Notamacropus eugenii: one gene and its partner. The protein of the gene in region 1 purifies or fractionates together with the protein of each later gene. This does not show direct contact. Links are inferred from orthologs where the notes say so. Each region holds a gene or a part of one and is shown on either strand. Other genes may lie near its edges.

What was found. Proteins that work in one complex are often made in the same cells at the same time.
Region 2: the proteins of RND3 (region 1) and PLEKHG5 purify together in Homo sapiens (affinity purification with western blotting; 3 studies listed by BioGRID and IntAct, with this or other methods). This does not show direct contact. The link is inferred for Notamacropus eugenii from reciprocal best matches to the Homo sapiens genes RND3 and PLEKHG5.

What each region holds. Positions count from the first base shown.
Region 1 is NC_092876.1:207,409,769-207,417,564, forward strand, and holds the start of RND3 (rho-related GTP-binding protein RhoE), read right to left. Parts: upstream 3,002-7,796; 5' UTR 2,651-3,001; coding exon 2,501-2,650; intron 2,003-2,500; coding exon 1,915-2,002; intron 1-1,914. UniProt on the Homo sapiens protein: Binds GTP but lacks intrinsic GTPase activity and is resistant to Rho-specific GTPase-activating proteins.
Region 2 is NC_092876.1:44,868,432-44,875,513, forward strand, and holds the start of PLEKHG5 (pleckstrin homology domain-containing family G member 5), read right to left. Parts: upstream 3,002-7,082; 5' UTR 2,599-3,001; coding exon 2,347-2,598; intron 2,312-2,346; exon of another isoform or gene 2,059-2,311; intron 1-2,058. UniProt on the Homo sapiens protein: Functions as a guanine exchange factor (GEF) for RAB26 and thus regulates autophagy of synaptic vesicles in axon terminal of motoneurons. Involved in the control of neuronal cell differentiation.

The DNA of each region.
Region 1 (7,796 bases):
GGAGAAAGAAGGCAGTGTGGTCTCAGCCCCTCCCTCCTTCTGCCGCCCCCCTCAGCACATGGTGAGGCGTTGGGAAGCGCCTGGCTCTCCAAGTGGAAAATGAAAAGCTGCCCATCTGGGCTGGATTGATTGTAGCAACAGCGGAGTCTGGCCCGGACTGCAGCTGAGAGAGGCTTTTAGGGGAAGGGGACTAGACTGCGCCTCCTGTCCCCCACTGTGCATGCGCGGGCTTTATCACTGCAGGGAGCCTCGGCTGGCCCCTTTCTCTGGCCCTTTCTTGCCCTCACTATTCAGGTTCACACCGAGGATCAGGGCTGACCACACGGCCAGAGCTAGACCGCTACCAGCCGAAAGAAGCCGTCTCCTCCGCCTACTCCTCTGGGCGGCACCGACAAATATCCCTCAGGGGCAGATCCGACAAGCCCGCCCTGGTCTCTTAGTTAAGTCTTCACTTCAGCTTCCCACCCAGCCCGACCCTCGTGGCAGCTTCGTTTCTTTCCCGTCCTCCCAAATCCCACTTAGATCGGTGCTCCCCATCTCAAAGCGTCCGCTGCTTTCTTTTAAACCCCGAGTCCAGCCTCAGGAGCGCGGGGAAGGTTCTCTCCGCAAAGGGACTGGGAGACCTTAACTCTCGGTAGGGTGGCAGTGGACAGGTCTCAGACTAAGCCGCCTCCAGATCGCCACCGATCAGCCCCCACCTCCGCACTGCCCCCACCAAGGACACATTAGACACCTCCCCCTAACATCCAAGTCCTTTCCATCCTTTTTGCTTCTCCTCATTCTCGAACTGCCCCCCAAAGCTTGGATAGTTACCCCTCTACTTTAAAAGCCATGGCAAGGGGGTGGGGGTGAGAAGGCAGCAGCCCGGTTCTGAACTCAACTATCCCCTTTAAAAAGAATCACCCCAGTAATTCAAACAGAACGTAAAGGTAACACACCCAGCCCTGGCAGGAATTACTGTATCACTATGTATCATTTCCCAGTCTAGGGTTCAGAGGGACATGCTCTACACCTTATTCCATGTTGCAAAGCAGCCCCTACAAGGAGGGAAACCCTCCAGCTCGGAGTTTTCTCTCCCTCCCCCCACGACTCCGTTCCGGGCACCTCGCTGTTGTACAACCGCCTGCACATACTTTCCTGTCATCGTCACGAATACCAGAGATTGCCTGCGCTCATGTTACTTTCTGGTAGGTTAGGATTCCGCACTTAACCGCGCCTATTTGGGGATTTTCCTCCTCCTCCCACAGCCACCCCCCCCTTCCCTTTCACCCTCCTAGAAAGCCATCAAGTTGCACAGAGAAGGTGTTCCCAGGTTCATAACTAGGTATAGTGCAGAGGGGACCTCGCTGCTGTCTCTCCCTCCAGGTTCAAGGACGACCGCCCCCGCCTCCCCCCAACACCCACCCTTAGGAGCGTGGGGGAAAGGGACAACGACCTCAGCAGAAGCGCCCCTGCCTGGATCACCAAGCGTTAGACCTTAGCCCATTTCTATGTGCGGGTCCGAGAGTGCCTGGCTTACACTTCATGGATAGTTAAAAGCCCGTAATCATTCCTTTCCATTTTCTGTTTTCTGCGCTCGCTCTTAGGTCTCGGTTCTTCCTCCCCTCCATCCCCCCCGCATCTTCCTCCCCACAAAGAAATAATAGGCATTTGTTGCTGAATTGAATTCATCTCGACCGGAACGCGGGGATTACTCGAGGAGGAAAAACTTAAAGGAGGCACTGTGGCTTGCGGAGGAGGGGTGAGGGGGAATGCCAGAGGGCGCGCTGACCTCAGGGGTCCACCGCACTGGCCCGGCTCTAGCCTAGGGCACAGAAGTTACCCTATCTCAAACCCAGCACTCCCTACCCCCAGCACCCCAATCCCCGAGAGAAGGAGACAAACCCCGGTGTGAACACAGGTTTCTTTTCTTACCCGAAGTGTCCCACAGGCTCAGCTCTATCCTTTGTGTGTCAATTTCAAAACTGGCCGTGTAATTTTCAAATACTGTAGGAACGTAATTCTGAAGGAATACACGGAGGAAACAAGGGAAACAGACCAAGAAGGGGGGAGAAACAACAAAAACCAAGGTTATCTTAAAAGGTATGGCACCAACAAAATCCCCCTGCCCCTTTAGAAATGAAAGCACGCAACCCAACAGACACCAGACACGAGGAACCAAATCTCTCCCTCTCATCCCCTACCTCCCCCAAACCCTAAGACCGACCCTCCGCCCCCACCATCAAAATCACTGCGATCTCACACCAGCCTAACCCTAACATCTTCTCTCCAGATGAAAGACAAGTTTTAAATGCAAGGAGATTAATGGTCAGGCTTTTTCAAGCCCCAGTGCCTTCTTCCTTATTCCTTTCCCCTTTAAAGGGATCTTACAAGGAAGGGTGAAGGAGACGGGAGGCTAAGGAGGTTAGAACACTAAAACAATTAAATTAAAAAAAAAAACCCACTGGTCTCTAGCGGCTTTGAATCCCACTTGGTCAGTGGCAAGGAAAGCTGGACGTACCTCGGGAAAGCAGTCCTTAGCAAACACATGAAGCAGCGCCGTTTTCCCACACTGGCTGTCTCCAACTACCACTATTTTGCATTTTACGTTCTGATTAGGATCCATCATAGATTTACTGTTTAATTTCTGGCTGGCTCTTCTCTCCTTCATTGATCTTGCCTTATTTTCTCTTGGAAAAGAAATCTTCTTTTAAGAGAAAAAAATGTATAAAAATCTTTGTTAAAAAAATATTTAAAAAATTATAAATGAAGAGGGTAGCCAGAACCCCTGTAAGCGCACAGGCGTTGTGGAGTGGAAAAGGTTGGGTTCCTCCCCTTGAAACAAGTTTTATATCCCGGATTCCAAACCTCGCCTCTCCAGTCCAATTCCGATCTGAATGCTTTGTTTCACGCTTTCTGCTTGGCTTTATATGCTGCGTCTTCCAATCCTGTTCTTTCTCAATGAGAGAAAGAAACTGATCCGCCTCCTCCCCTTTTATGGAGCCTGGGAGAGTGCGGAGTCTCCTTGCCTGCTGAAAACCTGTATGCCGTGCGCCCTCTAGGGGAACTGCTTAGAATCCATTTCAAGGCCAGACTCCCGAGGTTTGAGAAAAATCCTTTGTAGTGTGTTATTGCAGTATGAGGCGGACTGTCTACTAACTGCAGCAAGTGCGTGCCTCCGGGAACAAACAAGTGGGAAATAGAATCCCTGGATACCGGGTTACTTCCTGAGTAGGTGTCACCACGAATTTCCTCTTTGTTAATAGAAGCTAACCTACAAAATAACCAAAATAACCGAAATAAAGAGAACCACCCCCTCAGCTATTCGGGTTAAAGCAACTCCTTCTAAAGGCTTTGAATGGAGCACTTTGCTCTCAAAAACTTTTGAAGAGGCACACACACATATACATAATATATATGAGATATATGAATGTTGTATATGATATATATACATATATTGTAGTTTCTCAGTTCTGTGCGACTCCGCTTGACCCTACAGGCTTTGTCTATGGAATTTTCTTGGCAAAGATACTGGAGTCATTTTTACCATTTCCTTCTCTAATGTGTTCACATTTTATAGATGAGGAACTAAGGCAAATAGGGTTGAGTAACTTGTCCAGGGTCACAGTATCTGTGGCCAGATTTGAATTCAGATCTTACTGACTTCTGTAACCATATAGGTGCCCCATATACTTATTATATAGATTTGCTTGTATACGTATATAGGCATATATATATGTATATGTGTATAAATATATATTTGGTAGAGCAAAGTCTGAGTTGAATTTTAACATACTCTTTTACAAACATTAGTACAGGCTGAAAAGGGATTGTAAAGGAAGCAGCTCAGTCCTTGGAATAAGCGTGAAGTGACTGTGTAAGCTTCTTTGTAGGGCAAATGTTCATAAGTGAAGCCTTTCCAGGATGAAGGAAAATCCTGATACCATTTAGGAGACAACCCCATAAGAGTTTCATTCTGTGGAGTGAAGCCCTGAGGAGTTCTGGTCTAGGGTTAGGAGGAGGGAAAGCCCCCTGTAGCTTCTTGATAAAGGTTGGCTGTAGGTCACACCTGTGGTCTCCCAGCTCTTTGTCCTCTTGTTTGCTACTGGGGACCCTAGCCAGGCAGAGCTAATCTGATTTTCCCCGTTTCATGGAGGAGGGGGAGTAAGAAAGGAAAACCCGAATGAAATAGTGTTGCACTATGTAACTGTGCAGAGCTATAAAAATATAAACTGTTATTAATGGATTCATTTTCATTGAGACTATCTCTTAATCTCTTCCACTGCCCACGGTAAGAAAAGCTGGGTTCTATTATCAGGCCAGTGGTAAATTCCAACAACCCTGCAGGAGGCTGGAAAATTTTCTTTCTCAGGACCACAGGAAGCTTCCAAGGAAAGCACCTACCTTATGGCTTGCACAGAGTCTGCGCTTAGTAAATATCTGTTAAATTGTTGAATAGGAGTTGCAGAGACATTTCCCTGTGACTCAGAGGAGGTTTTATTTATTTTATTAAAGTTGTCCACTACCCTGCTACACTGCAACTAGGGCTTAACCTGATTACACTTAGAATCAAATCTATTTTGACTACTGAGAATCCTTGTAATATTCTACTAGAGAAAGGCTTCTTCACCTGAGATTAATAACCTAAGGGTAGAATTGTTTTTATTAATATTTTGAAAATTGGATTTTAATATAATTGGTTTTCTGATGACTCATGTATTTTATGGATTTAAAAACACTATTCTGAGAAGAGGTCTTGAAGGCTTCACTAAACTGCCAAGAAGTTCATGATTCATACAAAAAAAAAGATTAACCCATTTACAAGATCTTTGTGAATTTCTAAAATGCCAATTAGGTCATAGAATTTTGGATTAGAAAGGACTTTGGATATTATCCCCTCACTTAATGAATAAGGGAAAACTAAGTCAAGGAGACTTGTCTAAGGTCACACAGGGAGTAGACACAGAGCTGCGATTCAATCCCAGGGCTTCTCACCCCAAATCCAGGGGTTTCTTTCCACTATGCTATATTTCTTACTGCCACATCACAGTTGGAGGTTGGGAAGCAACATAAGAGGTTGGGAAGAACAATGAGCTCAATATAGAAATTTCAAAGGTCAGGGATTGATAGTGAGGAGAATGGGAGAGGCACTAGTGAAAAGAGCATGAAAAATTGCTCTTACTTGACCTAGATGTGCAGATATGCAGAGGAACATGGAATCTGACCTTTTCTGCCTAAGGTTCTGTCCGTAGATCTGAAGACCTTATTGTAGCGAAAGCTCTTTTAGGAGGCAGGAACACTGGTCACTGTATATACCAGTTATTTAATATCCTGCCTGGGGTATATGAAGTGTTCAAGGAGGACTAATACCTCCAGTATGAGGGCTTCCTGAGCCCTTTTCAGGGCTGCTCATCCACCTTTGGTGTCCATCTGCCACCCAGCTCTCACCTGTGGCTCTAAGGAGCTGTAGCATGGGCAGTGATCACACTCTGGTAAAACCATCTCAGAGGATGGGTTAAACCGGGTGGAGGGGAACCAAGAAGCTTCAAACCCATCAGTGAATTTAAGGGGATGTTTATCCCAAGTATTCCAAATGAAGACTTTCCAATGCAATGGAAGGTGAGGGCAGCTGAAGGAGGTGCTGCGATGTGCTTAGAGCTTGGTCAGGCATTGCAAATGCCAAAGTCATCCACTGTATCCCAAGCCATCAGCCATCGTCGAGACTTTGTCTACTCACTGGACTTTAATGACTGGAAGAGAGAAGCATCTGATGACTTTGTGCAGCTCTGCCTTACTTAAATCCAATTCACCCACAGACATTACCCCATGAGGTCATTAGTAAACAAAAGACACAAAACAACACCCTGCCTTCATTCTATTTAGCTTGTGGGACCTGACTTGAACCTATGGATTAATGTCAATTCAACAAACATTTATTAAATACCTATTATGTGTGAGGGACTATACTTGGCTTTGGAGTTTCAAAGAAAAAAATGAAAGTTTTCTTGACTTTCTACTGCTGGGCAGATAGAATATGTACACAAATGAGTACATGAAAAGTAATTTCAGGAGACATAGCATTGAATGTTGGAAGACTCAAGGTAAGCCCTTATATAAAATGTAACCACTGCTGAGCCTTGATGAAAGCTAATGATTCTATACAAGTATACATGACGAAGGGGTTCAGTGCTGGCATGGGGTACAGTCTGCAAAGGCACCAAGAGGAGAGAGAACCACAAGTTGAGAGGGAACAGATAATAGGCCAGACTGACTGAAATATAGAATTCAGGAAAGGGATGAAGTAATTTGAAGTAAAACTGGAAGTAAATGGGAGCCTGGTTATGAAGGATTTTAAATGTCCAAATGGTGAGTTTGGATTTGATTTTAGTGTCAATAGTCCACTAGAGTCCACTTATGATTAGGCTACTGACATGGTTAGACTTTGATTAAGGAAGATTATTTTGGCAGCTCTGTGGAAAATGAATTGAAGAAGGGAGAGATTAAAGGAGGGAGACCTGTTAGAGGCTACTGTAGCATAAAATAAGAAGTGATGAACACTTGAACTGGGATATTGGCTGTGTAAGTGGAGAGGAAAAGGTGGATAGAAATGATTTTCCAGAGCTCTAATCAATAGCTGAGGCAAGGATGACTCTGAGGCAGAAACCTGATTGATTGTAAAGATGGTGGTACCCTCAACAGAAATGGGGAAAATTTGAAGAAGATATGGGTTTGTAAAAACAGTGTTCTTACATACAAAGTTATTACTTACTTCTTGAATAGCAAACGAACAACCTAGACTCTTTTCCAGAAAGCAGTTTTGTGGTTAACCGGTTTCCAAGAATCTGTAAGTTTCCCAGCAAAACAATCATAGCACAGCATAGCAAAGAAAACTGAGCTGCGTGTCAGGGAGTCTGAATCACATAGGTGAGTGGTGGCCAAAAATAGGCACTTTGTTCCAGAAAGTTACAGGGATGGTAAATGGCTATGTAGAAACGTCAATTGACATATCCTATCCCGGAATAATAGCAAAGTTGATTTGATTATGGCTCATGGTTCCGGAGCTAGAAGTGAGAGAATGGGGGAGGGAGAAGGAAGGGGTCTCTAATGTGGGTGGCAAAGAAATTTCAAAGTAGTTGGTCTGAGAGAAGAGAATGAAATAAAAGCACGTATGGGGCTTCCTTGTAACAATGCTCCAGGAGAGGCAGACCCCAGGATGGAAGTTCCTCTAAGACATAGTCTGTGATGATGGCTAACAAGGTGGTTATAGAGGAGGTTGTATAGGAAATGATTGGAGAGGAGGGTGTATGTAGGAGACAACAAGTTGCTTTTGGGGAACAACTAGCTCAGTCTGTCTGCAACATATTATATATCAAGGAGAAAGATGTGGCACAAGTTTATAATGTTAGGCTAGAACCATGTCCTGGAGGGTTTTGAACGCAAGACATATCAGACCATGTGTGGCCAGGACTTTATTCTGTCTCATTATGTTCTTTCTAAGTGATGACTGCTAACACAATTGATTGTTGCATTGTGGTCTTATACACCTCTCTTTGGACAAAATGAAATGATGCAGCTGTGTATGTATGTTGAATAGCTATTGACCACCCACTTCATTGTTTTAATTTTAATTTAATTTAACCTGTCATATTTGGAAGTTTATACAATGAATTTAAACCTGCTGTTCTATGGGAAATATCAAAATTGAAATGAACCCCCACCTTTCCCAAACTTAAACTTTTTGGATTCTGGATTTTTAAAAATACCTTGAAATGTTAAAAAAAAAAATGCCTTCCAGATAATGATAATTATTAGTGATT
Region 2 (7,082 bases), about 160 Mb from region 1:
CACAGAACCAAGGACAGAGCACATGGTAAGTGCTGGAAGGCTGATCCCTTGGACTTTTTCAACTTTAATCGCTCAAGTCCAACCCAGGGTGGAAGAAGACAAAGAGGGGAGCAGAAAAGAGGCTCAATTTGCATTTGAGCAGCCCAGGTGTGTACTCCAGCTTTCCTGCTCACTATCCCAAGAGAACTTGGGCATGAGTCTAATAATACTGGCACTGACCCATAGGGAGAAGCGCCATAGACATGGGGTCATTGCTATTTCATCAAAAATCTGGAATTGGAAGGGGACTCCAAGGTTGTGTGGTCCAACTTCTGCACTCTACAGAAAAGGAAACTGAGGCACAAGGAGATTAAGTGACTTACCCAAGACCCCATAACAAGGGGAAGAAGTAGGATTTGAACTCTGGAGCTCTGATTACAGGGGGAAAGTATGATTTGCTGTGCAATCCCCTGGGGATAGGGTTGGGGTAGGAGTAAAATAGGGAATGAATCTCTCAGGAAGGAGGACATTTAGCTGGAAACCTGTGGAGTAAGCTGTGTGCGTTTGTAAAGTACAATAGGAGAAGGCACGACCAAAAAGCTGGACAATGGCACCTAGTCTGGGAATATCAAATACCACGTCTGCTTCCTCCTACCTATGTGATCTGGGGCAAGTCATTGAATTTTTGTGGGGGAAGGAAGGAAGGAAGGAAGGAAGGAAGGAAGGAAGGAAGGAAGGAAGGAAGGAAGGAAGGAAGGAAGGAAGGAAGGAGAAAGAAAGAAAAGGAAATTAAGGAAGGAAGAGATGGAGGGAGGGAGGGAGGAAGAATAAGGAGGAGAGAGGGTTGGTCAAGATGACCCTTAAGGTCCTTTCCAGTTCTGGGTCAAATAATCCACCACACCCCCAGAAGAATGTAAATCCCTTAGGAACAGAGTGTACAACTTTTGTCTCTGAATCCCCAGACTGGATTGTATTGGACTGCCTGCCTCCAGATCTGGTCCCTATAGTGACAGCTCACATTTAAGAAAGTGACTGGTCCATGACTGAATCTCAGTTTCCTCCTCTCTGTAACAGGCACAAAAACTCCTCCTGAAGTCTAATTTGAAGTTTACTTCCTTCACAATAGCTCTGTGGCTTAGGCATTAAAAATAAAGTATCTCAGTTTTGCAGACTGAAGTCCTCCGACCAAACTGGCAAGGTGACTGACAGCTAGGTAGTATCATGGAGAGAATACTGTTCTTAGAGAAGGAACTGAATTCAAATGTGACCTCAGCCACTTAACAGCTCGGTGACCCTGAGCTACTTATTTATTCGATCTCAACCTCAGTTTCCCCTTACGTAAAATAGGGATAAAAATAGCACCTCTCTCTCCCGTGTTGTTGAGAGGATCAAATGAGAAAACTTATGGAAAGCATTATGTCAATACTGGAGATTCTGGTGGACGGGTCACAATGACAAAACAGGTGAAGCCGAAGCTCTTAGGGGTTGTGACTTGGGTCAGAGGATGAAACCTGAGGTCTTTCCACCCCCTCTTCACTGCTTCTTCATCTTTCTCGATTTTCACCGGCCCCAGAGGGGTCTTCTTGAGACCATACACCCTCCTTTCCCAGTAGTGACTTCCTCGGGTTTCCCCTACTGGTTCTGCGTGGACCTTCGGGTTACTATTGGACCAGAAAAAACAGCCCGCAACTCCGAGCTGAGACCCCTAAAAAGCTTATCAGCCGAAAGAGAGGAAAGGTCCCTAGGGAAAGTCAGTGTCCGCGAAGCCGAAGCGCCTCTGGGAGCCTCGTTTGGAGGAGATGAGTTTTGTGCCCACTGACAAGAGGGATAAACTGATACCCAGGCCAGTGCCTGCGTAAGTGTCAATCGTTTCACTGGCCACCGCCACGGTCCCTACCTTAACTAGGAACCCGAGGCCCCCAGAACAGTAAAGACCACGCCGTCCCCTCTAGCACTCCAAGGGAAAAGCGCGGCGGGGTGCGGAGACGTTTCAGTTTTCAGTCGATCACCTCCCACGCTCCCCTCCCGGGCTCGCCTCCTCCTCTTTTACCTGGCGTCTCCCTTCCACCCCTTACTCACCCCCAGTTTCCAGTCCAAGGTTCAAGCTCAGCGATGTGCGTGACGGTGGGAGCCTCTCCCAGCCTCCCTCCTAGGTATCAGAGGGGCCAGCTGGTCGCCCTAGGCTGGAGCTGAGACTCAGCACTGTGGCAGCCCCAGGATGGGGAGGAGGAGAAGAGGGGGAAGAGGAGGAGCCAGGTTCCCCCGGGGGAGCCACCTCGCCGCCAGGCCAAGCCCGGTAATTACGGTAGCGCTGTCGGGATCTACCACCTGCGGGGCATGGGAGTGAAGGAGGAATGTACTACTTACTAAGGGTGCAGGGCGTGGACAGAACAAGGCTGGGCCCGGGCCTCGCGGGGCAGCAGCCAGGAAAGGAAGGAGTGGGCAGGGGCACGGGCGCGATCTTCCACAGCCCTCGGGGATCCCGGCCAGAGGACTCGGGCAGCCCCCTTGGGTTGCAGGCAGCCCCTGCGGCCGGCTCTGCAGCGCTCTTCCGCGTGGGGAAGGGACTGGGGCTGAGGCTGTCATCTGAAGGGGCGTCCTGAAGGCAGAGAGCCACATATGGCGGTCGCCAGCGGGATGCGGAGCAGCCTTCAAGCTCGAGGATGAATACTGGGACAACCTCTAGGGCGTGACTCCTCCCCCTTCCCCTCTACCCTCCCTCAAACTCAGGGAAATGCTTTGGGCAAAGGGGAGGGCTGGAGAGCGGTCCAGGAATGCCTTTCACTAAGGCTGGAAGCTAGTTGTCTCCGGATCGCCGCTGGGGAGGGGGCAGGTGGGAGCTTGGACCGCAAACACAAGGCTGAGTAGGGCTGCGCTGCACAGCTGGAGAGCGCGCAGGTGGGTGGGCGCAGGGCTCTGTCTCCGCCCCGCTCTCCAGCAGCCTGCGGGACCCCTGGGAGCCCACAGAATGCCCCCGACGGTTGCTCCGACTCGCTCCCTCGTTCACTCCCTACCCTGCTCCCGGACCCTCCAGATTTCCGCTCCCTGGCTATAAATAACTCCTTTCTAACCGCACTCTGGCCGCGCCCTGGAAACTCTCCCTGTGTGCTCCCAAAACACTCCCTGCTTTTTTTTCTTTTGACCCTATCCCTGGCACTGAGTTGAGGGGGAAAACAGGCTCGCGACGCCAGGTTAACTCCTCCTCCCCACGCGGCACCCGAGGGGAGCAGCTGGAGTTTAAAATAACAGTGCAAAGATGGATGGGAGCCCAGGTCTCAGATCGAGAGCTGCCACCAATGGCACCCAGCCAAGGCCGGAGTCTGCCCCTTGAGCTGGGCCCCCACGTTCAGTGGAGGGGGAAAAGGAGATCGAGGGTGGGATTATTAGCCTATGAGCGCTACCAATCTCACACACACTCCGCAGAAATGTCCAGGCTGAACCCTAGGGTGCTACTGGGGAGATGGGGGCGGTCTCCTTGGGAAGCTGAAGACCCTGTATGGTCGGCCCTTATCAACATCCATATTACAGAATGATCAGCTTCCTTCTCACAAAATGTCCCTCCCCTTAACCTGTGGCCAAACTGTTGGTGGAGATGGAAATGAGGTGGGGGGGGGCAGGAGCAGTGTGAGGAGTCCCAGGTCACCGGCCGCCAAGAGGCAGCAGGAAATCGGCTTTCTGGGGTCTCCTCTCATCCCTAAGAGGCTGGAGTACACAACTACATATAAATATTTATAGCAGCACTTTTTATGGTAGCAGAGTTGGTGCCAATCAGTTGGAGAAGTAGTTGAATAAATTGTGGTATGGAATGGAATGTGAGTGGAACGGGATGCTATCAACTCCAAACAATGACAAATATGCAGAATTCAGAGAAACTTGGGAAGACTTGCATAACTTGATACAGTACCCAGGTGAGCTCTTTATAGGATGAACAATTTATAGGATGTTATTTATACATAGTAACATAAAGGAAAATCGATCAGATTTAAAGACACCAGAAGTCTGATCAACCAGTGAAGTGGACAGTCAGGACTTCAGAGGACTTGGACCCTGAGCCTAGCACCTCTGGCCAGAGAGGTGGTGGACTACAGGAGCAGAGTGAGGTATTTAGTTATCCGACTCAGCTAACCTGTTGTTTTGGTTTGCTTCATTATATTCTGTTATACCAGAGGGTTCTTTAGGTGGGAAAATCCCTGGCAAGTGATAGGTTTGTGGGGTTTCTTAAGATCATTAATATATACATGCGTATATATTATATATGTGTATATATCCAGATATATATATATATCTCTGTGTGTGTGTATGTATATATATACAGATATGTGTGTGTGTATTTTTTTTTAAGAGAAATAGGAATGCAGTTGGGTGCCAGCAGAGATCTCCTAGGTCAGTCTCCACCTTAGTCCTTATCCTCTTATCCAAAAGGGAGATAAAGCTGAAATCCCTGACCATTAAAGCACTGGGATTAGGTGCAAGGCTCTCAGGTAAACTATTTTGGTCTGTTGTCTGCTGACTCCCACCCACACTCCACCAATCTCCGGGAAGCCTCAGGTCATTGGTCTATGATTCCATGACCCAGGAGCCATTTCTTCTTCATTCTGTCGATCTGTCTCCCTCTCCTTCCACTATCTCTGTGTCTCTTGTGTCATTGCCCCCAATCCATGACAGACCTTCTCTTCTGGCTTTACTTGAATGCCCAAGGATACCTGATTTGGCAGACTAGGACCCTCTTTTTCATAGCCTCAGACTCCCACAAATATCCCCTGTCCCTACTAACCTGGCTTCACATACAGCTGGCCTGACTTTTGAACTGGAGGTGTCAGATGTATATAGGATAGGGGCTGCACCTGGGCTTTCACTGACATAGGAAACTGCTAGATCAGGGAAGTTCCTCTACCAAGACAAGTCAGAACCATTTAAGCAACTAATAGTCTTAGAGAGTGACCAAAGATTTAAGTGACTTGTCAAGGATCACAAAAGGCAGTATGTGTAAGAGGCAAGACTTGAACTCAGGTCTTCCTGGTTCTGACCACAAGTCTCTGCCCACTGTGGTACACTGCCTGTCAAATCATATATAGATTGTTGTTGTTCAGTCATTTTCAGTCATATCCAACTCTTTGTGACCTCATTTGGGATTTTCTTGGCAAAGATACTGTAGTGGTTTGCCATTTCTTTTTACAGATGAGGAGACTGAGGCAAACAGGGTGAAGTGACTTACCCAGGGTCACACAGCTAGTAAGTGCCTGAGGTTAGATTTGAACTCAGGAAGAGTTCAAACTTCAGGCACTCTATCCATTGTGCCACCTAGCTGTCCCTACGTTTACCTGTACACACACAAACACATACACACACACGTATGTATTATATCTCCTTTCCCCAGTAGAATGTCAGTTATTTGAGAGCAGGGACCAGCATATTTGTCTTTGCAATCCCGGTTCTGAGCACTGTGTCCAACATGTAGTGAGTGCTTAATGAATGCCTGTGGGTTTGGAAATAGGTACATAAGTTGAATTATCCCCATTTTACAGATGAGAAAACTGAGTCAGAAAAGTGAAGTGATTTGCCCAAGATCACACATCTAGGAAGTACGATTATAATCTGAGATTTCAACCCAAGTATTGTCTGATGCCTCTCTACATGCTATGGAGAATGGAATTTTCTAGACTTCAAAATAAGAATATTTTTAAAAGTCATATTAATATGCATTTCTCATTGCACAAAGGTCCACCAAGATGGTCAAGGGTCTGAAGATCATGCCACATGAGACCTAGGAGGAGTTTTAGGCTGGAGAAGGGAAGACAAACGGAGGACCCCAAAGCTGCCTTCAAGTATATGAGGTATCGGGTGGAAGGATTCGTTTTCTTCTGCTCAGCCCTGGAGGTGAAATTAAAAGCAAACGATAGAAAAGCACAAGAGGCAATTAACGTCAAGAAAAAAATTTCCAAATAACTACCACTAGTCAGAAAGAGAAGGGGCTGACTTGCGGGGGTAGGGCCCCTCACCCTCCACTGGAGGGCTACCATGGAGACTAGATTACCATGTCCCCCAGTAAAAGCACTTCCTTTACCAATATGGGCTGGAGTGGATGGCCAACCCAACTTCTCTTCCAGTTTGGAGACTCTGTATTCCAAGGCATGGTATACCCTTGATCAGTGCTCTCTGTCCTGCTCTAGTCTGGCAGAAAAAAAGCTCTGGACTTGGAATAAGGATGACCTTAGCTAGGATACAGTCTGGGACTTGGAGCCAAGAAAACTTGAATTCAAATTCTTCCTCAGATATTTAATAGCTTGTGTGACCCTGAGGAACTCACTTACCCTCTTCGTTATCTATAAAATGGGGAGAATTACAAAAATTACATTTATATTAAATATTTATAAAAATTATAATATTTAATAATATTATTAAACAAGAGGATATTAGGAAAGCACTTAGCATGATGCTTGGCACAAAGAAGCACTATATAAATGCTAGCTATTATAATTATTAAATGAGATGCTATTTGGAATACACTTGGCATGGTGCTTGGCATACAGTAAGGGCTACGTAAATGCTATTATTAAATGAGATGACATTTGTAAAGCACCTGGCATGGCACTTGGAACACAGTAAGCACTATGTAAATGCTAGATATTATTATTAAGATATTTGTAAAGCACTTGGCACATAGGAAGAACTATCCAAATGTTGGCCATGATGATGATGAGGATGATGACTTAGGCTCAAGCCTCAGTTTCTTAGCTGTGCCTTCACAGACAAGTCAGTTAATTTTTCCAGGTCTCAGTTTCTATGCGTTCAGATCAGGGTGGCTCAGATGACCTTCAGGGTTTCGTCCAGCCCTAAATCTACAGGATCTGTAAGTGAACTTTGCCCTGATCTCCATACCCAGGCATCACTCCTATCATTTCGCCCTTTCCTGTTCCTCCAGCAGACATCAGGCACTACCTAAAATTGCCAGCACTTACGCAGTGCTTAAAGGCTTCCCGAAGGATCTAGGTCCCTTATCTCATTTGTCACTCAAGAATAACCCAGTGAAGAAGATACTGTTACTACCTCCACTTTGCAAATTAAGAAACTGATATTACATGATGTGCACAGAGCTAGTAAGT